Linked DNA regions of Oryctolagus cuniculus. The protein of the gene in region 1 interacts with the protein of each later gene in a biochemical or structural test. Links are inferred from orthologs where the notes say so. Each region holds a gene or a part of one and is shown in the gene's direction. Other genes may lie near its edges. The genes, in order: RUNX1, FOS, CDK1, DTX2, STUB1 and ELF2.

Region 1 (4,180 bases):
GTCTGGGAGAAAGCAGTCTCTGGGGTTTCGGTTCCTGCTTCCGTCAAAAGAGGAGTAAGTTAAAAAAAAAAAAAATCGTGTCCGTGGCTTTTGAAAGGCCTGGGAGTCTGAGGGCACGGTTGGGGTGCAGAATTCCGCGGAGGCACCCGTTCCAAGGGACTGTCCTGGGGTTCAGGCTCTGCCGTGGCCTCCCAGGGCAGTGGTGCACCAGCTGGAAACCCAGGGCTGGGGTCTCGGACCCTGCAGTACAGTTTCTCTTGAGCGATGACAAAAAGGATGCTTTTGTTGATCAGCAGGGGAAACCGACAAGCAGGATAAAGCTCCCCAAGGCTGGGGTGGTCTGCACGCCCCCGCACACAAAAGTAGCCTGCTTCTTTAGGACTGACCCATGTGGGCATTGCACAGGCAGAGCGTGAGCTCATGGGGCCCATCAGCCAGCCCCCCCGACAAGGGGCCGCTCCCGAGAAGCCCCTCCTCGGCTTCCTCTGGCCATGGTGAATTCTGGAAGTCTCACCAGCTACCTGCACTGACAGGTGTTTTGGGCCGGTTGAGCTGAGCTAAGCCAAGGCAGGCCCAGGAAGCAGGTCTTCGCAGGTGAAACTCGCTTTTTCCTTAGCCTCCTAACCAGAGTGTGTGTACAAGTGCCAATCCCTGTTCTCAGAGACACAGGGCCTCCACCCCCGTACTGAAACAGAGGTGTGCAAAAATGTCCATGGAGGAGGAAGAAAGCCACATACGTTTGATTTCATTACACGGACACTTTTATCTCAAAAAGGAAAGTGCTCTCCTTTGGACAGGCTTTAAAACACTGATAAATCGCTAGCCCCTTTTAGGGGTCTCTCGCCTAATCTTTTTTTCCCCCTTGTCATTTCACTCACACTGTTACACTCTTGAATAAGGACTGACTTCTTCCCCCACCCCCACCCCCCCACACCCCCTGCCGCCAGCTGATTTTGAGCATTCGAAATGACAGGGTCCACATCCTGTGTATGTAGCATCCCGACGACCGACGCCAGCGTTGAGTTACTATTGAATAGGCAGCAATGAAATCCTTATCAAAATACTCAGTAGCTTCCCAAACCCACAAATACCAAGAGCAGGAGCTGAGCCATCCCTAAGCCAGCAGAGACCCTTGCGATAAGAGGAGAGACCGAGCCACTGTTCTTCTGCATCCCCTCTCTCTTGAAGTCTCTACTGGGCTTTGTGTTTGCACTGCCTGGGGGGCAGGGCAGGTGGGAGAAGGAAGAGAACAGCTCAGAAAGTACAAAAAAAAAAAAAAAAATTGACCTCACTTGGCGTCACATGACTGGCAAGAACCAATGAAGCCAGGCCGTGGAAAGGGGAACAGTTAAATTTGTAATTTGGGCTGTGTGAAAACTTCTTTGGGTCTCACAGACAACCACAGAACCACAAGTTGGGTAGGCTGGCAGTGGCAGGAGGCTCAGCCCAGTGTAGTGGTCAGCCGGCCGGGCGACTCACCCTGAGTGCAAACCACAGGCTATCAGAGTGGCGCACAGCGTCAGCCCACAGCCCCGGCGGGCGCGCTGCTGGGTTTGCTCTTTAACAATTTGAATATTTGTTTGCACCAAGGTACCTTTGTGTTTTTTTTTTTTTTTCGTAGAACTCGGGGAGTCCCAGGAGTACCCAGGCGGAGGTGGGGAGGGGAAGAGATGGAGGGAGCCATGATGGGCGTGAGGAGGTGAAGGCGGTGACCTTTCTTGGTTTTCACTCCTAAGGTAAAAGACACCATTGAACTCCCGCCTTCGGCAGAGGGTGCGATTTCGGGAGGAAGCTATGGCTTCAGACAGCATATTTGAGTCATTTCCTTCGTACCCAGAGTGCTTCATGAGAGGTGAGTACCGTGCTGGTCTTCTGGTATCTGCTTGTGTTCAGCTCTGCGCCCACAGCAAGGGGGCAGAGGGGCGCCTGGGTGCCCGTCTGTGTCGGAGTGGGGGAGGACTTGTCCCCGAGGCCGGTGATTGCAATGCTATTGGATTACCAACTCCTCCGAGGGCAGCGCCGCCGAACTGTTTTTACGCATACTTGGTTAAGCTGGTGAAGTGCTGGGTCAGAGGACGAAGGCAGCGCGGTAGCTCGGGCTGCTCTGGTTTAAAGTCCTGGAGATCAGAATGCTTGCACAAAGCTCCCCCGGGTTTTATGCGTGCCGTCCCTTGCCGGCAATGGAATAACCGTGTCTGAGTTAGCCTGAACTTTGCACGCTGTGTGGCCCGGACGGCAGCCTGCCCTGGGGGCTTAGCAGGCACACACGCTGAGCAAGCCAGCCGGGAAGGGCTGGAGCCAGCGTGGGGCAAGAGGCTCTCGGATCTGCCCTGTGCGTCAGCCAGCCTGGAGGTCTCAGGCTCAAAGTGGCGACTCGGCTATCTCCAACACGCAGAGAGTATTGGAGCCTGGCACACTCGCTTAGGTTAGAGTTGTCAGGTCCAGGCTGTGCTGTTTTCCTGGGCGCCCCCAGGCAAAGAGGCAGCCTGCATCTTTGAAGCGAGAAAGCAGGTTGTGACATCCCAGGGTCTTTCTCTTTCTCTCGAAGAGAGCAAGGAAGGAGTTTCCCAAGTCCAACGAACGTTCTGGCAGCTTGGGTCCGTGGACTGCACGCTCACCAACGGGAGCACTGGTGTGCAAAACCCCTACGCACTTTTGCAACCAGACTCTTGAAACCTGCAAAGCTAGGGCTGAGCAGTGAGTGTGAGACAGTGTGCCGCCCGGAGGCATTTTGTGTATCTTTCGTGGTAAGAGAGGGCAGTGCTTAGCCGAGGAAAAACAGTAACATGAAAGACCATGAAGGCGTCGGAGCACCGGGGCTGGGCTTTGGCCGGTACCTGCAGAATGTGGCTTGATGGTTTGGCAGAGCTGGAGCGGAGTGGGCTTGGATGGAAGACTAATTAATTTTCAGGCTCTTGCATGCCCCCAAATAGTGTCTGCGCCTCGTTCTCTATTCATGCAGTCAAGTGAGCAGGGGAACGTGGCGGGCTTGCCAGCCGCTCGGTCACAGCAGACGCCGCTGGGAGTGCCACATTCCATTTGTTTCTGGATCCCTGAAATTTAAAAACTTGACAAAGATGTGTGTGTGTGTGTGCGCTTGTGCGTGTATGTCTGTGTTTGTGTGTCTGTGCATCTGCGTGTGTGTGCTTGTGTGTCTGTGTGTATGTCTGTGTCTTATTTGTGTGCTTGTGTGTCTGTTTTTTGTGTGTCTGTGTTTGTGCGTCTGTGTCTGTGTATCTGTGTGTCTCATTTGTGTGTGTGTTTGTGTCTGTGTGTGTTTGAGTGTGTGTATATCTGTGTGTCTGTGTGTATCTGTATATGTGTCTGTGTGTCTTGCTTGTGTGTATCTGTGTGTATCTGTGTATGTGTGTGTCTGTGTGTGTGTATCTGTGTGTCTGTGTTTGTGTATCTACATGTGTGCCTGTGTCTGTGTCTGTGTGTGTCTTGTTTATGCGTGTTGGTGCCTCTGTGTGTGTATCTATGTATGTGTGTTCCTGTGTGTGTGTCTGTGTGTCTGTGTATCTGTGTGTGTATCTGTATCTATGTGTCTTGTTTGTGTCTGTGTGTATCTGCATGTGTGCCTGTGTCTGTGTGTGTCTTGTTTATGTGTGTCTGTGTGTGTATCTGTGCGTGTCTTGTTTATGTGTGTTGGTGCCTCTGTGTGTGTATCTGTGCATGTGTGTGTCTGTGTATCTGTATCTGTGTGTCGTGTCTGTGTGTGTGTGTCTGTGTGTCTTGTTTGTATGTATCTGTATGTGTATGTGTGTCTGTGTGTGTCTGAGGGAAAGGGGTAGGTCTAGGCGGACACACAAGACAGCCAGCCGTGAGCTGATCCCCAGCTTCAGCCGGAAGGGTTTCTGAGCGCTCTCCACTGGCAGCGGGGAGTGCAGTCGACTCACGGGGATGTGTGTGAGTCACGCATCGCATCTGGCAGCGTCGTGGGCGCCGTGGGGCCAGGGCCCTGGCTGAGAGGCTGCGCGGGGCTCCCTCGCAGCGTTTCCCCTGGGGAAGCAATATTCGCAGAATAAGAGAAAAACGAGCTTCCTGCCTTCCTGCACTTCCAGCGCCCTCTCCAAGCGCTGACTGTTTCCTCTGTGATCAACCCCAGGAAGGCAGAGGCAGGACATTTTGCTGGGATGTCAGCGTGTAGGGCTGGCCCTGGAAGCCGTCCTTAGAGAAC
Region 2 (4,217 bases), on another chromosome or scaffold:
TGACCCTGCCTCGCCCCTCCCCGGGAGCGGGTCCTCGGCTGGCCGCGACCCCTAGGCCCCCAGAGTGGGTCAGAGGACTCAGGGGTCCTGCAGAGGGACCTGCGCCGTTGCACTCCAGGGGTGTCCGGCGCGCCGGGGCCCAGCTGGGACAGTGTGACCCCGGCGGTCCTTTGCAGCCCAGCGGGAGGCTGGGGGCGTTGGGGGGGCGTGGCGCGTTCTGCAGCACCTGCTCGGCCCCCAAGACCTCCAGGTTTCCAGGGCCCGGGCCTCGAGGCCTCCCGCCTGGATACTGCTGGGCACCATTCTTCCATTCCCCTTGCTGCCCGCCTCCCATCCGAGCTGGAAAATCACCCGCTGCGGGCTCCTTGGGAGCCCAGTTTCCTGGCGGAACCGACCCGGCCCCCACCGCACCCCCAGCTCTGACTTGCGTTCCCTGGCGGCTCAGTCCACCTTGGGGCCCCGCACAGGCCACCCACCCCCAGGACGCCGCTCGGAACGCGGCTGACGACCCCTTGGCATCCTGGCGCGGGGGTCTGTATGACGTATATGGACGGGCGTCCCAGGGATTGGACAGTAACACTAACACCCCCACGTTCGGCCCAGAAGAAAAAAACAAGTGCGCTGCCTTCCTCCAAACACGAAAACGAATCAGTAAAAATCAAAGTACCCCCGCCTCGCAAATCAAGCCGGGCTACCGTATTTCATTTTAGACCCATCACGTTCTGCTTCCAAACGTAGTAATGATCCTGGGACCCTGGGGGCTCGGGGGCTCAGGGGCTCGGGTCTGGGGCCACATTTTGCACCCAGCTAGGGCGAGGGTCGGGAATGGGGGCTGCGTGCGTTCCTCTGCGAGCCGCGCTTGCGCCCTCGGGGCCGTGTACCTGTTCCTCCAGTACTTGAGCCTCAGAACCAACCCTAGTCCCTGCACCGGGGTGAGAGGCCGGCCTCCGTCCCATCCCCCACGACCCCAGGAACAAGGGTCCGCAGCGTGCCCAGTGGGAATGTTCGCTCGCCTTCTCCGCCTCTCCCGCCTCCCCTCCCCCGCCCCGGCGCGGCCCCCGCTTCCCCCCCGCGCTGCACCCTCAATGTTGGCTGCAGCCCGCGAGCAGTTCCCGTCAATCCCTCCCCCCTCTACACAGGATGTCCATATTAGGACATCTGCGTCAGCAGGTTTCCACGGCCGTCCCGTGTCGCCGTGGGGGGAGCCACCCCCGAAGACCCTCTTCTCGGGGGTCTGAGACCCCTCCGGGACCCTCATCTCGCCACGCCCGCAGAGTAAGGACTCACAGGCATACCGGGGCGGGGGCTGCGCGCGGCTGGGGGTGGCCGGGTCGCAGCGGCGCCACCCCAGCCGGCGCGCCACCCCTCCAGCGCCACATGGTTGCGCCCGGTGACGCCGTTGGGCTCATTCACAAAATGCTGTTATAAAAGCGGTGGCTGCGGCGCCTCGTACTCCAAGCGCCTCTGCAGCGAGCAGCCAAGAACCTGAGACAGAGCCGGCGGCCGCTGCATAGCGAGCGAGCAGTGACCGCGCTCCGACCCAGCTCTGCCCCAGCCAGCGCTCCGCCGGCCTCGGTGCCCAGGCCCCTCGCCCAGCTTGCCCTCCCTGCGACCATGATGTTCTCGGGCTTCAACGCCGACTACGAGGCAGCGTCTTCCCGCTGCAGCAGCGCCTCGCCAGCCGGGGACAGCCTCTCCTACTACCACTCCCCAGCCGACTCCTTCTCCAGCATGGGCTCCCCGGTCAATGCGCAGGTGAGGGCGCACTGGCGCCTCCGTGGGGCCCGGGACCCGGGGGGTCGCCAGGGTGGGAGGCTGCCGCGGCCGGAGCAGCCCCAGTCTGGGAGCGCGGGGCTTGTTGTGAGCGCACGCTCGCCAGTCGTCATAGTAAGCCATGCCTGCCCCTCTGCCCGGCGGGTCCGCGCCGGGCAGCCCCCTGCCCGCCCTCTGCGACCGGGGCGGACGTGAGCCCAGGGAGAGACTCGCCAGGTGGAGGTCCGGCTCCTTTGGGGCAGGCGGCAGAGGGCGGCCCGGAGCCGGGAGGAGGGGCGCGGGAGGAGGGTGCGTAAGGCAGTTTCATTGATAAAAAGCGAGTTCATTCTGGAGACTCCGGAGCGGCGCCTGCGTCAGCGCGGACGTCAGGGATATTTATAACAAACCCCCTTTCCAGCGAGTGATGCTGCTGGAGAAATAACGGGAACACGGCCGCGGGCTGGAGACAGGAGGCGCCGCGTTGCGGAGACCTTGCGGGCAGAGGGCAGAGCTTCCAGCCGGGATGGGAACTAACAGACCCCGCAGGCGCCGTTCCCCGGCTGCTGCATGCGGCAGGCGCTGGGAACCCGGCGCGCCCCACCTGTGAACGCAACCCGCGCGCTCACGGCGGCTTCTCCTTCTGTTTTCTTCCAGGACTTCTGTTCGGATCTGGCCGTCTCCACTGCCAACTTCATCCCCACCGTGACTGCCATCTCGACCAGCCCGGACCTGCAGTGGCTGGTGCAGCCCACCCTGGTCTCTTCCGTGGCTCCGTCGCAGACCAGAGCCCCCCACCCTTACGGAGTCCCCGCCCCCTCGGCTGGGGCTTACCCCCGGGCTGGAAACGTGAAGACCCTGACCGGAGGCAGAGCTCAGAGCATCGGCCGAAGGGGCAAGGTGGAGCAGGTGAGGGGCGCCTCTGCACCTTGGGGGGTGGGGGAGGCGGGTCACGGGGACAGCAGCGGAGATTGGGGGAACCCAGCAGCGAGGATGAAGCCAGAGTGGGAATTGTCTGTGCATCCCATCCCGAGCCAGGAAGCCTGGCTCCAGGCCAGACTCCGATAGTCCCGCCCCCAAGAAGTCCGTCTGTAGTTTTCTTCCCTGATAGTTTCCTGTCGCTGGCGCCCTCAGCCTGGGCTCATCTTTGTTCTTGGGCTGAGGATCTGATTTTAAATGCAAGTCACACCCCGCCTGCGACTGCAGGTTAGAAATACTCGTCAGAGGAGGTGCCAGGGAGCTGGGAGGCGGCAGGAGCCAGCTTCCCCGAAGTGGTGGCTGTCACTGTTACTGAAGCGCTCTCTGCTTGGTGTCGTTGTAGTTGTCACCCGAGGAAGAGGAGAAGAGGCGAATCCGAAGGGAAAGGAATAAGATGGCTGCAGCCAAGTGCCGAAACCGGAGGCGGGAGCTCACCGATACCCTGCAGGCGGTAAGTAGACCCCAGGGGTCACACCTTTCGAAGTTCGAGGCTGGGCCCTGGAGTGTGACCGAGTCTCATGCTGTCTCCATCCTTCCCCAACACAGGAGACAGATCAGCTAGAAGACGAGAAGTCTGCGCTGCAGACGGAGATCGCCAACCTGCTCAAGGAGAAGGAGAAGCTGGAGTTCATCCTGGCAGCCCACCGGCCCGCCTGCAAGATCCCCGATGACCTGGGCTTCCCCGAGGAGATGTCCGTGGGATCCCTGGATCTGAGCGGGGGCCTGCCCGAGGCTGCCACCCCGGAGTCCGAGGAGCCTTTCAGTCTGCCCCTCCTCAACGACCCGGAGCCTAAGCCCGCAGTGGAGCCCGGCAAGAACCTGAGCGGCATGGAGCTGAAGGCCGAGCCCTTCGATGACTTCCTGTTCCCAGCGTCATCCAGGCCCAGCGGCTCGGAGACGGCACGCTCTGTGCCGGACGTGGACCTGTCCGGTTCCTTCTATGCCGCAGACTGGGAGCCCCTGCACAGTGGCGCCCTGGGGATGGGGCCGATGGCTGCGGAGCTGGAGCCCCTGTGCACCCCGGTGGTCACCTGTACCCCAAGCTGCACCACTTACACGTCTTCCTTCGTCTTCACCTACCCCGAGGCTGACTCCTTCCCCAGCTGCGCCGCGGCCCACCGCAAGGGCAGCAGCAGCAACGAGCCCTCCTCTGACTCGCTCAGCTCCCCGACACTGCTCGCCCTGTGAGCCGGCCGGGCTGGGGAGGCAGCCGGCGCGGCGCCCTGCCTCTGTCCGGAGTTGGTGCATTACAGAAAGAACCACGTCTTCCCTCGAGGGTTCCGGTAGACTAGGGAGGACGCGATCTGTGCGTGAAACACACCAGGCTGTGGGCCGCAAGGACTGGAACGCACCCGCGTGTGGACCCGAGTCCTTACCTCTTCCGGAGATGTAGCAAAACGCATGGAGTGTGTGTTGTTCCCAGTGGCACTTCTGAGAGCTGGTAGTTAGTAGCATGTTGAGCCAGGCCTGGGTCTGTGTCTCTTTTCTCT
Region 3 (3,500 bases), on another chromosome or scaffold:
TATTTATTTGGAAGGCAGAGTGACAGGTCTTCCATCTGCTGGTTCACTCCCCAGATGTCTGCAATAGTCAGGGCCAGGCCAGGTGGAAGCCAGGGTGTAGGAGCCTAAGTGCTCTGGCCATTATTCTCCTTCCTCCCAGGTATATTAGCAGGAAGCTGGGTTGGAATTTTAGTGACTGGTACTCTGAACCAAGGTGCTCTGCAGCTGTCCCAAGTGGCAGCGTCAGCCTCTGAACGCATTAGCTTTGTTCTAAGTTAGAAATGGTATCATCATGATTGAATATACAGAACTGTTGGCTTAATTCTAGATTACTAATAAATTATTATTTGACTAGTTACATGCTAGCAGTAAGCAGTGCAGCAGTTTGTATAGTGTCACTCCTAAATCCACTGTCATTTTTTTAAAATATAACATGCTTTGATGATCTCATTTTAATGATAAGAAAAACAAGAAAGATTTGGTATGCTTTTGTCTGTTTTTCTCTTGATGTGTAGAAGTTAGAAGTGACATTCAATTTAGTGTTCTGTATATAGTTTATTAACTTGGTGTTAACAGCTTTCTAAAGAGCCAGCCTAATGAAATATAAGTGTTTAAATGTAGGTAATTTGGTGCACCATGTTTATTTTCTGTAAAAATTTGCTTTGTAATAGGTAGTAACACTCTGGTATAGATCTCCAGAAGTATTGCTGGGGTCAGCTCGTTACTCTACTCCAGTTGACATTTGGAGTATAGGCACCATATTTGCAGAATTAGCAACTAAGAAACCACTTTTCCATGGAGATTCAGAAATTGATCAGCTCTTCAGGATTTTCAGGTATTTATTTATACCAAAATTGCTACCATGTTTGAAGTAATGCAGGCAACATGTATGTAAAAAGATGATATTTATGCTTTAACTGATGTTATGTTTTGCAATGGCTTTTAGAGCCTTGGGCACGCCCAATAACGAAGTGTGGCCAGAAGTGGAATCCTTACAGGACTATAAGAATACATTTCCTAAGTGGAAACCAGGAAGCTTGGCATCTCATGTCAAAAATTTGGATGAAAATGGCTTGGATTTGCTCTCGGTAAGCAGTGCCGTTTATACTTTAACCTTACTGATGATTCTGCACATATTCATTCAGTCCTTTGTTTACCTGGGGAATACTCTATTGTGTTACTGCCCCGTTTTAGACATCAAGAAACAGTAGTGGTTTTGAGAAGGGTTTTGGTTTTTGTTATGTGAGATGACTATAGGCAGTTTGAATTGCTAAGTTGTGGTGGCTTCCTTCTCAGCTTTTTTTGTCATTTACTATTAATTCCTTTTTAGTCTATCTTAGTCAAGTATTTTCTTACTGCCTGCTGTTTTTAGTTAATAAAGGAGTTTACAGCATGAATTCCATATCTCACTTGTTTCTCTATCAGAAAGGTTAGAATTGCTGTATCTCTTAAAAATCTTTCTCTTCTTTCACATTACTTCTGCCATTTAATGATTTTCTTTACAAATAAGCAAAAAATAGAGTAGAACCTCTTAGGATGGGAAAGGCCTTCTCCAGGAAGCTTACCATCTGTAAATCATACAACCAAATTAAGGTCAGATTTAGATTTTTCTCAGTTGCTTATAGTGACTGCCAGAGTCCTTTATCTGCCATTCAGGTCTTTGGTACAGTATGCTAGTATTGTTGATTGGACTTGAGGCTCTTCTACAGTTCTGGCCAGGCTGCTCTTCTGACTTCTACAATTCTTTGATTTTATTTCAGTTAAGGAAACAAAAGTCAAATACCGGAAAGTGGGTTTCTCTGTAGCCATAATTGACATCTTGATCCACATAGTTGTCCTGTGCATCACAGCATGTTTAGCAGCATCTATGCCCTCTACCCTCTAGATGTCAGTAGAACACTCTCCCCACTTAGGACAGCCAAAATGTCTCCTTATGGGCAAAGTCTTCCCCAGTTGAACCATCACTGCACTTCTTAAATTGGACATGATTTCCTATTTGTCATTCCTTAGCTATTATATGATCTTGGGCAAATGAACGCCTTTGAGCCTCAGGGTCCTCATTTGTATAGTGGGACTAATGCCAATCTTGTAAGGGATAAGTAGCCAAAACACTTCATACAGTGCTGAATACCTAAGGGTTAGGATGATGATTTGTTAGTAAAAGTATCTGTAGTCTGCTTCTTGATTTGATTTTCTTTTTTAAGATTAATAGTTCTTTCAGATAAAATTTAAAATCCGTCTTCAACTTTTTAGCTTTTTTGGTGATGTGTAAATTAACTTTAATACTAGGTTGTTTGACCGTTATTCATTTAGTGACTCATTTTTGGCCATGTGTATAACACATTATGCTGTGGATTTTCTCTTTAATGTGGAACTTGTTAGAAGCTATAGCAGAAACAACTGTAGTTAATTGTCACCATTGAAGAACGTTATAAATAACTCAGATGGTCATTTAATTCTCAGCATAAATATAATTAACTAGGTATCTTTCCTAAATTTATGTGATGCTTTTAAAGCTATCTTTGAATACTTGGGTCTTAGGATAATTTAACAAAAATTATTGTGATATTTATGATTTAGGAGCTACAGGGTGAACTCTGAGGGATAAGACATTTATGTAATAAATTAATGGAGATGTTCTTTTAGTAGATTTTCACTGAAATTATTAGGGCTTATTGATAAAAAAAGTTAAGGATTAAAGGAGATTTTAAAAAATGACTCATTTAATAAATAAGTATCTTTTTTCTTTTCCCCCTCCAGAAAATGTTAGTCTATGATCCTGCCAAACGGATTTCTGGCAAAATGGCACTAAATCATCCATATTTTAATGATTTGGACAATCAGATTAAGAAGATATAGCTCTTTGCCATTTCCACATTTGACGTTTCCAGATTGCTACACCGAGAATGAATAGTTGTATTTTTACTGTTAACTCTATTTTTGTCTTGTATATTTTTCTTTTCTATGTTGTAAAACTTAAGCTGTTCTTCTTTTTTCAAAACTGTAACTTAAAAATGTAAATATTGTTCTATATGAATTTAAATATAATAATTCTGTATATGTGTGTAGATCTTTCTGTAACAACTTTGTTACTATAATAAAACAATCAATCTAATATTGATGTCAGGAATTGAAGAAAATTTGAGGTAGCTTAAATCAGCTCAATCTTTACAGCAGTTCTGTTTTATATATAGTTGGAACTACTAAAATGTAGGAAAGTATACTAAGTTCCAAGTTTCATAATGCTTTGAAGAATTTTTATGCTCTGTGTTTTCTTGCCATATGGTAACTATACAACCTGCCTAAAGATGAATATTTTTCTGCTGGTATTTCAATTTGTGACTTAAATGTTTAAGCATCAGGATGGGAACACTAGACAGATTTGAAAAATAATGCTAAATTTATAGGAGTTTTCAGTAACTTATAAAACTAACATTAGAGCATGCCAAAGTTTGCTAAGTTTTACAGTCAAAGATCAAGGGCTGTCCACAGCAGGGAAGAACAGTTGTGAAAATTTATGA
Region 4 (4,097 bases), on another chromosome or scaffold:
GGGGGCCCACCTGGCGCCAGCAGAGGCGCCTCCCCTAGGGTGCCCGCCTAAAGGAAAGATTTTATTGCTTAATGTTAATCAGGCCAGGTAGTCCATTTGGTGCTGAGCAGAGAGGATTCTCCCGGGAGCTTTCCAAGGTGGGGAGCTGAGACCACCTGGGAAGTTGTCAGGGTCAGGGCAGGACTTTGCAGTGTGAACCCCCGGGCTGCTTCCCAGGTGAGCTGCCGCATTAACAGGAAGTTGAGGTGCCAACTCTAACTCAGCCTTCAGGTACGGGCTCAGGCATCCCAAGCAGTGGCTTATCCTGCGGTGCCACCACGCCTGCCCCATTTTTTAAAATCATTGTATTCCCCCTACTATATATTTTTTAAAAGATTTATTCATTTATTTGAAAGTCAGAGTTACAGACAGAGGAGAGGCGGGGGGGGGGGGGAGGTCTTCCATCCAATGGTTCACTCCCCAATTGGCTGCAATGGCCAGAGCTGAGCCGATCCGAAGCCAGGAGCTTCTTTCGGGTCTCCCACGTGGGTACAGGGGCCCAAGGACTTGGGCCATCTTCCACTGCTTTCCCAGGCCACAGCAGAGAGCTGGATCAGAAGTTTAGCAGCCTGGTCTCAAACCGGTGCCCATATGGGATGCCGGTGCTTCGGGCCTGGGCGTTAACCCACTGTGCCACAGCCCCAGCCCTAACCTACTATATTTCAATTGTGTGTTTATGTTTCAGTCTCCCTAGGTAGATGCAAAGCTCTTCTAGGAGAAAAACACATCTCTGATGTACTTTTCAGTCCTCAGTATGCAGCAGAGCAGGCCCTGGCATCACGCCTACAACAGTAGAACTATTTAAAATGAGTTGAGGGGGCCAGCGCCGTGGCTCACTTGGTTAATCCTCCACCTGCGGCGCCCATATCTAGGTATCAGAATGGAGTGCCTGAGTCCCAGTCCAGCTCCCTGCTACTGTGCACCCTGGGAATCAGCAGACGATGCCTCGAGTACTTGGTTCCTGTCACCCACGTGGAAACCTGGACTGAGTTCTAGGCTTCTGGCTTTAGCCATCCCAGCCCTAGGTGTTGCTGCCATTTGAGGAGTGAACCGGTGGAAGGCGTCTGTGTCTGCTTTTCAGGTAAAAAATAAATAGAAGTTAAAAAGTGAGCCCGTAACGAGTGAAGCAGGAACTCCACGAGGGAATGAAAGAAAACCACACTCACCTGGGCAGGTGCGCCAGAGGCTCCGCCCATCTCCTTCTGCCCCGCCCCCTGACCCAGGCCGGACTACATTTCCCAGAAGGCCCCGCGCGCTGGGCATGCGCGGCGGGGCGCTCGGAAGCTGCGACGCCGAGTTTTACTCTGGCTGGTGTCTCCCGCTAGGAGTCGGGAGCCACAGCCGGAACCCTGCCCGGGCCGAGCCAGAGCTCCGGTCCCGGCGCGTCGGCGTCCTCGCCTCGTCCCCTCGCCCTTCTCAGCCCCGGTGAGAGAAGCGGGCAGGCCTCCCGCTCGTCGGCAGCGTTGGGGGTCCCGAGGGCGGGAGGCGGCGGAGGGAGACCGAGCCGAGCTGGGGCCGGAAGGGGGCGGGCGTGGGAGTGAGGGAGGCCCCGGAGTCCCGGGGGATTGGGAGGAGTGGCTCGCGCGCCCCCGGTCCTGAGGCCGGGAGTCGAGGGGGATTTGGAGGTGCTGGGGGCTCGGGTCGGCGCTGGGCGCTGGGCGCGGGGTCGCAGCGGGAGGAGGGGCGCGGAGGAGTTTGGGTCGGGAGGAGCAGACCCCTTTCCCCAGGACCTGGAGGAGGCGGTGGGCGAGGCTGTGGGTTTTCTCCTGGGTCCGCCCTCAGGTGGAGGAACTCGCCGGGCCAGGGGGGCTGGACTTGGGGAGGAGTTGGCCCCGTCACTCGGCTTCCCCTGCCCCCCCCCCCATCCCCGTCTAACAGTGGGGTCCACCTTCGCCTGAGCTCCCGTTTCGCGGGGTCCCCGGTCACTTGCAGGGATGCGCGAGGGGTGTTGAAGAGGACTTGGGGGGGCACTCGTCCCATCTCTGGAGCTGGGGTTTCATGCCGCCCGCCCTAACCAGCTGCACCGGTTCCACTTCCCAAAGTGCCGGCCGCGTAGACCCCCCGCTCCGCCCCCCCCCCCCCGAAACTCAAATTTCCGCGTGCCGCCCCCAGACCCTCCGGTGTTTTGGGTAGCCAAAAATCAGGGCTCTCGGAAGCTGACCCGGTAGCTGGCCCTCTTGGTCGCTTGCTGTGTGACCTTGGTCAGATTGTCACCCTGTGTGGACTTCCTGGATGTCTAAGCAGCCTGCGGGCTTTTTCAGGCCTCTTCTGTGTGCGGGCTTGGGTTTTTAAAATCCTCTCCTTGCCTTTGAGCGGGCGGGAGGAAAAGAGTCCCGCCACCTTCTGCCCTGCCCGGGCTGTTGGAAAATAAATCGGGTGACTTCCAGTCCCGGGCCACGGCCACAGCGTCTGTGCACCCGCTTCCCCTCCCTGCTGTTTCTCAATTGAAAACCTGATCGCCCTCTTCCTTGTTGGCAAAGGTGCCTTGGAATTCGTGCCGCTGAGTCAGCAAGGCTCTCGGATTTTCCCGGTTCTTGTTGTCTGTGTACCGAGATGGGGACTCGGGCCAGTGCTTCCTCCTGAGGATCTGTGTCTGCGTCAAGAAGGGGCACGGAGAGTGCCGGCCCTCTGGACAGAAGAGGTGAGCGCTGGGGGCTTCACCTCGCTGCCTTCTCGGCCTGGGTTCCGGCAGAGAAGATGGACACCGCGGAGGGTGGAGCTGGGGGTGTCCAGAGTGGAAGCGAGGCCCTGGGTGGGAGTGGGCCGTGGGTGCCGGCTGCCCCAGGTACATCCACGAGCCCTCTTGCGAAGCGCCGCTCCTGCTGAGCCAGACCCAGGAGGCTTTGGGGTGGAGGACGGAAGTCCTGATTTCTGCTTTTGAACTGGAAATTTTCACGTCCTGTGTTGCATAAACCACGCGGAGGGGGGGGGGTGCAGATAGTATCCCTGCCTTCGTGGACGGCACAGGCTGTTCCAAGGCGTCCTTGAGCTGGGGGAACCTCAGGGCAGAGCCCCCCACCCTCTGCTGAGGACACGGGGAGAGGCGCCGGGCAGGGGAGCCAGGGCAGAGCGGGGCCCGGTGTGGGGTGGTGCAGGCGGCAGGAGTAAGCAGGGTCTGAGCCGGGAGGGCTTGTGGTTTGCTGTGGCTTGACCATTGGTGTGCTTGAGGTCCCTGGTGTGGAGGTGGTGGCGTCCCACAGAGCTGAGGCCTACCTAAGGGAAGGAGATGAGCGGGTGCATGCGCCTCTCCTGGGAGAGGATTCCTGTTCCTGAAGGCCGATGGCTGTAAAGCCACTAGCTCCGGGTGCACGGTCCCTTTTTGTCCCTTTTGTGCGGCTGGTTCCCTTTCTGCAGGTGCAACCGAAGGGCCCTCACCAGGATGCTGCCACTGGCCGCGCGGCCCCTCCAGCCACCAGAACCTCGAGCCAAACCCACCTGTTGGCTTTGTCGGTCACCAGCGCCGGTCACCAGCGCCGGGTGTTTTGTGACAGCCCCGCCACGGCTGTGGCATTGGCAAGGTTTCAGCAGAATCCTCGGGGCAGCGTGGCATGGACTGGACTCCCCTTACGGCCGGCGCCTTACACCGTGCCGGCCTCTGGTGGGGGAGGCTAGGTGAGGGCTTTGGCCCTCAGTGGCTTGACGTCCACTTGCAGGGATAAGATGCGGTGGGGGGGCCCTGACGCACAGGCCGCAGTGGGGGTTAAGGGGCTGCTTCCTTCCCTTGGGGTCCTCAAGGCGTTGTGCAGGTGTGTTCAGATTGAGCCCCTGGAAGCGTAGGTGGGGACACCTGGATGGGTGTGGAGGAGGAGGGATTGGAGAGGGGACCTAGGCCTGCAAGTGTTGTGTTGTTGAGGGGGAGGGAGGGAGGGGGCTTCGATTGTCAACCCTGGGGAGTGTGGACTTCCGGCATAGAGAAGCGCCCGCTTGCTTCAGGAGGCTTCCTCCCACCTGTGCCCGAGGTGGGCTGCAGGGAAGCAGAGGTGCAGGCCCCTGGAGTGAGCATCGGGGCTCAGCAGGCGCTCCCAGCCCTGCTCCAGCAGTGAGGCCATGGCAGCCTC
Region 5 (3,517 bases), on another chromosome or scaffold:
CTGCAGCTGATGATCGGGGTGCCCCTGGAGATGGTGCACGGCGCGCTGCGCATCAGCCTCCTGTACCTGGCGGGCGTGCTGGCAGGTGAGGCGCCGCGCCCCGGCCCGCCCCGCGCCGCCCGCCGGGCCTCACCCCTGCCCTCCTGGCCCGCAGGCTCCCTGACCGTGTCCATCACCGACATGCGGGCCCCCGTGGTGGGGGGCTCCGGCGGGGTCTACGCCCTGTGCTCGGCGCACCTGGCCAACGTCGTCATGGTAATGGGCGCCCGCGGGGGGCGGGGCGGGCGCCGCGGGCCTGTCTCACGGCCTCTCCGCGCCCCTCAGAACTGGGCTGGGATGCGGTGTCCCTACAAGCTGCTGCGGATGGTGCTGGCCCTGGTGTGCAGTGAGTAGGGGCGGGGCGGGCGGGGCGGGCCCGCGGGCGGGGCGCCGCCCACCTGCCGCCTCCCTCCGCAGTGAGCTCGGAGGTGGGCCGCGCCGTGTGGCTGCGCTTCTCGCCGCCGCTGCCCGCCTCGGGCCCGCAGCCCAGCTTCATGGCGCACCTGGCGGGCGCCGTGGTGGGCGTGAGCATGGGCCTCACCATCCTACGCAGCTACGAGGAGCGCCTGCGGGACCAGTGCGGCTGGTGGGTGGTCCTGCTGGCCTACGGCACCTTCCTGCTCTTCGCCGTCTTCTGGAACGTCTTTGCCTACGACCTGCTGGGCGCCCACGTCCCCCCGCCGCCCTGACCGCCTCCTGGGCACAGGGGAGGCCCTGCCCCCGCCCCGCCCCCGGGTCCGCGGTCCGCGCCTTTTGCAGAGTGAATAAATATTTTACACGGCACCAGGTGGCTGTCCGGGGTCTGGAGGCGTCTCTGCCCCCCGCTTCCCGCGGACCGTGCGGGGCCCTCCCATCTACGAAGGGACTGGGCTGCGGCCCCAGGGGACAGGCGGTGGGTGTCCTGGCCCACGAGTTCGGCCTGCACGCCGTGGGGGAGGGGGCCAGGCTGGGGCCGGTCAGGCACGGTGTCCCACCGCCCATGCCGAGGGGGCGGCGCCGGCGGGGTCGCTCCCACCTGTGCGGACGCTGCCTCACGGGCCGCACAGGGTGCCCGGGCGGCTGCGGCAGCTGAGGCCGTACTCAGCTGCGGGTCAGGGCGTCCTGGGTCGTCTCCGCCGGCGGGGCCCGCCCCCGGGGGCCCGCACGCGCTGCACGCCTCGGCCTCCCGCTGCCCCCATGCCGGGGGCGGGGCGTGCGCGGAGGGGCGGAGCCCGGCCGCAGGGAGGCGGTCCTTCGGAGGCTCCGCGCGGCGGGCCCCGCCCCCACCCCGCCGCAGCGCGCACGCGCGACCCCGCCCCCCGCGGCCGGAAGTTCCGGTGGCGGCGATCCGGGCCGGGCCGAGCGGGGCGCGGGCTGCGGGCGGCCGGGCGCGGAGCCCGCGAGCGGAGCCCAGGCCGTGCCGCGCGGCGCCATGAAGGGCAAGGAGGAGAAGGAGGGCGGCGCGCGGCTGGGCGGCGGCGGCAGCCCCGAGAAGAGCCCGAGCGCGCAGGAGCTCAAGGAGCAGGGCAACCGGCTCTTCGTGGGCCGCAAGTACCCGGAGGCGGCGGCCTGCTACGGCCGCGCCATCGTGAGTGCGCCGCGCCGGGGGCGGGCCTGGCGCCGGGGCGCGGCCCTTCGGGGCCCCCCGGCTTGGGGCGTTTGACTCGGCCCCGGCGGCGGCGGCCGCCCGGGTGCGGGTGCGGTGCGGGTGCGGCCCGCGCGCACGCCCACAGCGCGGCCGCCCGCTCTCCCCAGACGCGCAACCCGCTGGTGGCGGTGTACTACACCAACCGCGCCCTGTGCTACCTGAAGATGCAGCAGCACGAGCAGGCGCTGGCCGACTGCCGGCGCGCGCTGGAGCTGGACGGCCAGTCGGTGAAGGCGCACTTCTTCCTGGGCCAGTGCCAGCTGGAGCTGGAGAGCTACGACGAGGCCATCGCCAACCTGCAGCGAGGTGGGCGCGCGGCGCGGGGCGCGCGGCGCGGCTGCGGGCGGCCGGCCGGGCTGACCGCGCGCCCCGCGCCCGCAGCCTACAGCCTGGCCAAGGAGCAGCGGCTCAACTTCGGCGACGACATCCCCAGCGCGCTGCGCATCGCCAAGAAGAAGCGCTGGAACAGCCTGGAGGAGCGGCGCATCCACCAGGAGAGCGAGCTGCACGCCTACCTCGCCAGGCTCATCGCGGCCGAGCGCGAGAGGTGGGCCCCTCCGCGCGTTTATTGACAGCGGGGCGGGGCGGGGCGGGGCGGGGCGGGTCCTGACGCGCGGCCGCTCGCCCGCAGGGAGCTGGAGGAGTGCCAGCGGAGCCACGAGGGGGACGAGGACGACGGCCACGTCCGCGCCCAGCAGGCCTGCATTGAGGCCAAGCACGTGAGGGCGGCCCGGCCGGCGGGCGCGGGCCCCGGGGGCGGCGGGGGCGGCGGGGGCAGGCGGCGCTGGGCCGGGGGAGGGCCGTGTGCGGCCCCGGGGCAGCGCCCCCTCGCTTCTTCCAGGACAAGTACTTGGCGGACATGGACGAGCTCTTCTCGCAAGTGGACGAGAAGAGAAAGGTGAGCCTTGTCGGCGGGGCCCGTGGGCAGGTGCCGGCCGCCCGCCCACTGAGCGCGCCCTGTGTGCAGAGGCGCGACGTCCCCGACTATCTGTGCGGCAAGATCAGCTTCGAGCTGATGCGGGAGCCCTGCATCACCCCCAGCGGCATCACCTACGACCGCAAGGACATCGAGGAGCACCTGCAGGTGGGTGCGGCCGCGGCGGCCCGGCCGGGCGCCCCGCCCCGCCGCGCCGCTGACCCCGCTGTCCCCGCAGCGCGTGGGCCACTTTGACCCCGTGACCCGGAGCCCCCTGACCCAGGAGCAGCTCATCCCCAACCTGGCCATGAAGGAGGTCATCGACGCGTTCATCTCGGAGAACGGCTGGGTGGAGGACTACTGAGCCCCTGCAAGGCCCGCCCCCGCCCCCGCCCCGGCGCCGCCCCTGTCCTGCAATAAAGTCCGTGAGCACGAGCGCTAGCCCAGGAAGGTGGAGATGAACACGCACGTGTCCAGGTTGAGCGTGGCGTGCCACCAGCGGGCCGGGAAGTACAGCACCTGCGGGAGGGGCGCGGGCGTCAGCGGGGGGCCTCGCCTCCCCCGCCCCGGCCCCGGCCCCGGCCCCGGCCCGGACCTCGCCCGCGGAGATGGTGCACTCGAGCGGCCGCGCGGCCGGGGCCAGGCCTGGGTACGTGTCCCGGAGCCAGGCCAGCGTGGTCTCGTTGGGGTGGAACTGCGGCGTCTTCTCGGGCGGGTACAGGAACCAGCGCTGGGGGAGGGGAAGCGCACGCTCACCCCGGGTCCGCGGGTCCGCGCGCCCAGCCCCTGCCCACGGCACTGACCTTGCGGCCGTAGATGACCTCCGAATACCCGGGCCCGTGCCAGTGGAAGGGCACCCCGGTGCCCGCGCCTGTGGGTTTGGCGGGTGAGCAAAAAACCACACCCCCCTGCCCTGCCCCCGTCCCCGGCTCCCG
Region 6 (2,925 bases), on another chromosome or scaffold:
GTCTCCTGAAAGCAGCAACCTCTGTTCGTGGCGGGAAAAACTCATCTCCTATAAACTGCTCCAGAGCAGAGAAGGGTGTAGCTAGAGTTGTGAATATCACTTCCCCTGGCCACGATGCTTCATCTCGGTCTCCTACTACCACCACATCTGTATCTGCAACGGCGGCTCCAAGGTAAGTGAGGCACACTATTAGTTGTTATGTATTTATCTTTTTAAGAAAGATCCTTGGTAAAAATTATATATCCATTTGTTTAATACATATTAGCATGCTAAGAACTTGATGTCAGGATTTCAAAAACTGCCTGACATTTTTAAGTGTATTGTTGTTAAAGTAGGTATCTTGACTAAAATGATTTGTTTTTTACTTCATTTGGGCTTTAGCTTTTGTTTTTGTTTTTTGTGTTTTTTTTAAAAATGTATTTGTTTCAAGGCACTTCAGATTCTAAACTGCCAGGATTGCCAACACTTGTGAAATTTCAGAGCACTGCTTCTACTTCTATGCAGTTTGAGTTTGCATTCCTCTTTTTGCATAGAAGACTATGTTCTAATTGAGAGTTAAATGTAAATAAACTCCTTTCTTTTTAATCTACTAGGACAGTTCGTGTGGCAATGCAAGTACCTGTTGTAATGACATCATTGGGTCAGAAAATTTCAACTGTGGCAGTTCAGTCAGTCAATGCAGGTGCACCGTTAATCACCAGCACTAGTCCACCGACAGCAACCTCTCCAAAGGTAGTCATTCAGACAATCCCTACTGTGGTGCCAGCCTCTACTGAAAATGGAGACAAGATCACCATGCAGCCTGCCAAAATCATCACCATCCCAGCTACACAACTTGCACAGTGTCAACTGCAGACAAAGTCAAATCTGACTGGATCAGGAAGCATTAACATTGTTGGAACCCCATTGGCTGTCAGAGCACTTACCCCTGTTTCAATAGCCCATGGTACACCTGTAATGAGACTATCAGTGCCTACTCAACAGGCATCTGGCCAGACTCCTCCTCGAGTTATCAGTGCAGTAATAAAAGGGCCAGAGGTTAAATCAGAAGCAGTGGCAAAAAAGCAAGAACATGATGTGAAAACTTTGCAGCTGGTAGAAGAAAAACCAGCAGATGGAAATAAGACAGTGACCCACGTGGTGGTTGTCAGTGCGCCTTCAGCCATTGCCCTTCCTGTAACTATGAAAACAGAAGGTCTAGTGACATGTGAGAAATGAAATAGCAGCTGTACCATGGACTTAGACTGTTAATGGTAGTACTGATGATAAACATTTGCAAAGGAAGTCATCAAGACAAGTCCAAGGAAGACTTTAAAGCTTTGTATTGCATATAAGAAAACAATCAGACTTACTGGAAATATATTACCTATCCCATGTTTCAGTGGGAGATGAGCTACATGTTGAGATGCTGACAGAAAACTGCCTCTTACAGTAGGAAACAACTGAACCCATCAATGAGAAAAAGGATTGAAAGGGACCAAGCAGCTCACTACAATATCAAGTTACACTAAGACTTGGAACACTAACTTTCTGTAAGAGGTTATATAGTTTTCAGTGGGGAGGGGTTGGGATGGGTGATCTCATTGTTACATATAGCAATTTTTGATGCATTTTATATGCATACCAGCAATTATTACTGTGTTCGCACAGTTCTCACTTAACTGGTGCTATGTGAAGACTCTGCTAATATAGGTATTTTAGAATGTGAATTGAAGAATGGATCCAAAAGCTTCAGAAAGAGGATAGCAAAAAAAGATCTAGTGCGAATTTTTTTTTATATATATATATCATATAGCTTAAGCTGATTTAAAACAAAGGCCTTAGACTAATTTTCGGTTTTCTTTCTTGAAATAAGCTAATGGCTTGTTTGTGTAAAGCTTTTTTATTAAAAGAAAAATTTTAAAAATCTTGTACCTAGCACAGTATTGTTATAGAATTTACATGTAACATTTTATATGGTAGTTTAAGTCTGTCAGTTTCTTAATTGTGGACAAATTAACAGTTGGCCCTGGCCTTTTGCTGTAACATGCCTGTGTCACTCACTTAGCCCTGGCGTCTGTGCAGACATATCAGTTTCAGTTCTACGGTCACTTGGAAGTTCAGGCTCAGCATGAATTTTTGTCAGGTAGCTCTAATACCTGGAGCTAGCTAGCTAGCTTCTCTCTCTCTCTCTCTCTCTCTCTCTCTCTCTCTCTCTGCCATCCTCCTTTCCTCTCCCCCCTTCCTTCTCTCTCTTTCCTTTCCTTTCTTTTCCTTCCTTCTGTTATTTTATTTTTTAGTTGAAGTTTTAAGAGGGAAAGTACCAGTGTTCAGATTTGAACTATAATAGTTTGTATATTCAACATTTGAAGTATATTCTATTTTGTTGTACTCTTGTTTCAAAGTGTATTCAAGTAGGTTTTCTGAAATATAGAAATGAAATTTATCTTGTGCTTTGGTCTCTGGTGATATTTTTAACAATATTCAAAAGCCAGCATAGAGATGTTTTGTAGTTAAGAAGTAATAGCAGTCTCGTTTCTCCTTCCTGTTTTGTGAAGAAATTCTACTTTGTTTCATTCCATTGTATTAATATTTGGCAGATATCTGCATGTCACCAATTCCTTTTCCACCATCATCACAAACTATAATGTTCTACCTACAATAATGAATTTAGTATTATAGTTGGCTGTACCTAAAGAACTTTTTTCAAATTAGACCATTTGTTTCTCAGTCAGACCTTTTGAGGGTAAGAAGAATAAATCATGTTTTAGTATTTTTACAGATTAGCAAATTGAAGTACCAGCAGGATTACATGAATTACCGAATTTCACACAAAACTGGGTCCTACCAGTCTGCATCTTAATGCTTTTTCTACAATAGAGAAAAGTTGTCTGCTTTTTAGGAATTTACACGAGGTTATACTAAATATTTTTTGGCCTTTATGCA

The links.
Region 2: the proteins of RUNX1 (region 1) and FOS form a complex in vitro, tested with the Homo sapiens proteins (2 studies listed by BioGRID). The link is inferred for Oryctolagus cuniculus from reciprocal best matches to the Homo sapiens genes RUNX1 and FOS.
Region 3: of the proteins of RUNX1 (region 1) and CDK1, one has a biochemical effect on the other in vitro, tested with the Homo sapiens proteins (2 studies listed by BioGRID). The link is inferred for Oryctolagus cuniculus from reciprocal best matches to the Homo sapiens genes RUNX1 and CDK1.
Region 4: the proteins of RUNX1 (region 1) and DTX2 form a complex in vitro, tested with the Homo sapiens proteins (2 studies listed by BioGRID, with this or other methods). The link is inferred for Oryctolagus cuniculus from reciprocal best matches to the Homo sapiens genes RUNX1 and DTX2.
Region 5: the proteins of RUNX1 (region 1) and STUB1 form a complex in vitro, tested with the Homo sapiens proteins (3 studies listed by BioGRID, with this or other methods). The link is inferred for Oryctolagus cuniculus from reciprocal best matches to the Homo sapiens genes RUNX1 and STUB1.
Region 6: the proteins of RUNX1 (region 1) and ELF2 form a complex in vitro, tested with the Homo sapiens proteins (2 studies listed by BioGRID and IntAct). The link is inferred for Oryctolagus cuniculus from reciprocal best matches to the Homo sapiens genes RUNX1 and ELF2.

What each region holds. Positions count from the first base shown.
Region 1 is NC_091435.1:10,027,676-10,031,855, forward strand, and holds the start of RUNX1 (runt-related transcription factor 1), read left to right. Parts: upstream 1-1,380; 5' UTR 1,381-1,590; intron 1,591-1,736; 5' UTR 1,737-1,794; coding exon 1,795-1,852; intron 1,853-4,180.
Region 2 is NC_091451.1:21,316,140-21,320,356, forward strand, and holds the start of FOS (protein c-Fos), read left to right. Parts: upstream 1-1,417; 5' UTR 1,418-1,614; coding exon 1,615-1,755; intron 1,756-2,406; coding exon 2,407-2,658; intron 2,659-3,070; coding exon 3,071-3,178; intron 3,179-3,273; coding exon 3,274-3,915; 3' UTR 3,916-4,217. UniProt on the Homo sapiens protein: Nuclear phosphoprotein which forms a tight but non-covalently linked complex with the JUN/AP-1 transcription factor. In the heterodimer, FOS and JUN/AP-1 basic regions each seems to interact with symmetrical DNA half sites.
Region 3 is NC_091446.1:53,173,969-53,177,468, forward strand, and holds the end of CDK1 (cyclin-dependent kinase 1), read left to right. Parts: intron 1-650; coding exon 651-814; intron 815-925; coding exon 926-1,067; intron 1,068-2,739; coding exon 2,740-2,838; 3' UTR 2,839-3,094; downstream 3,095-3,500. UniProt on the Homo sapiens protein: Plays a key role in the control of the eukaryotic cell cycle by modulating the centrosome cycle as well as mitotic onset; promotes G2-M transition via association with multiple interphase cyclins.
Region 4 is NC_091450.1:44,162,887-44,166,983, reverse strand, and holds the start of DTX2 (probable E3 ubiquitin-protein ligase DTX2), read left to right. Parts: upstream 1-1,297; 5' UTR 1,298-1,464; intron 1,465-1,576; exon of another isoform or gene 1,577-1,664; intron 1,665-2,519; exon of another isoform or gene 2,520-2,680; intron 2,681-4,097. UniProt on the Homo sapiens protein: Regulator of Notch signaling, a signaling pathway involved in cell-cell communications that regulates a broad spectrum of cell-fate determinations.
Region 5 is NC_091450.1:34,026,459-34,029,975, reverse strand, and holds STUB1 (E3 ubiquitin-protein ligase CHIP), read left to right. Parts: upstream 1-1,450; coding exon 1,451-1,606; intron 1,607-1,773; coding exon 1,774-1,972; intron 1,973-2,047; coding exon 2,048-2,213; exon of another isoform or gene 2,214-2,297; coding exon 2,298-2,385; exon of another isoform or gene 2,386-2,507; coding exon 2,508-2,750; exon of another isoform or gene 2,751-2,820; coding exon 2,821-2,946; 3' UTR 2,947-3,017; downstream 3,018-3,517. Other genes in the region: RHBDL1 (rhomboid-related protein 1), read left to right, coding at 155-255, 325-385, 457-1,111; JMJD8 (jmjC domain-containing protein 8), read right to left, coding at 3,021-3,101, 3,178-3,312, 3,386-3,453. UniProt on the Homo sapiens protein: E3 ubiquitin-protein ligase which targets misfolded chaperone substrates towards proteasomal degradation.
Region 6 is NC_091439.1:25,673,940-25,676,864, forward strand, and holds the end of ELF2 (ETS-related transcription factor Elf-2), read left to right. Parts: coding exon 1-172; intron 173-593; coding exon 594-1,218; 3' UTR 1,219-2,425; downstream 2,426-2,925. UniProt on the Homo sapiens protein: Isoform 1 transcriptionally activates the LYN and BLK promoters and acts synergistically with RUNX1 to transactivate the BLK promoter. Isoform 2 may function in repression of RUNX1-mediated transactivation.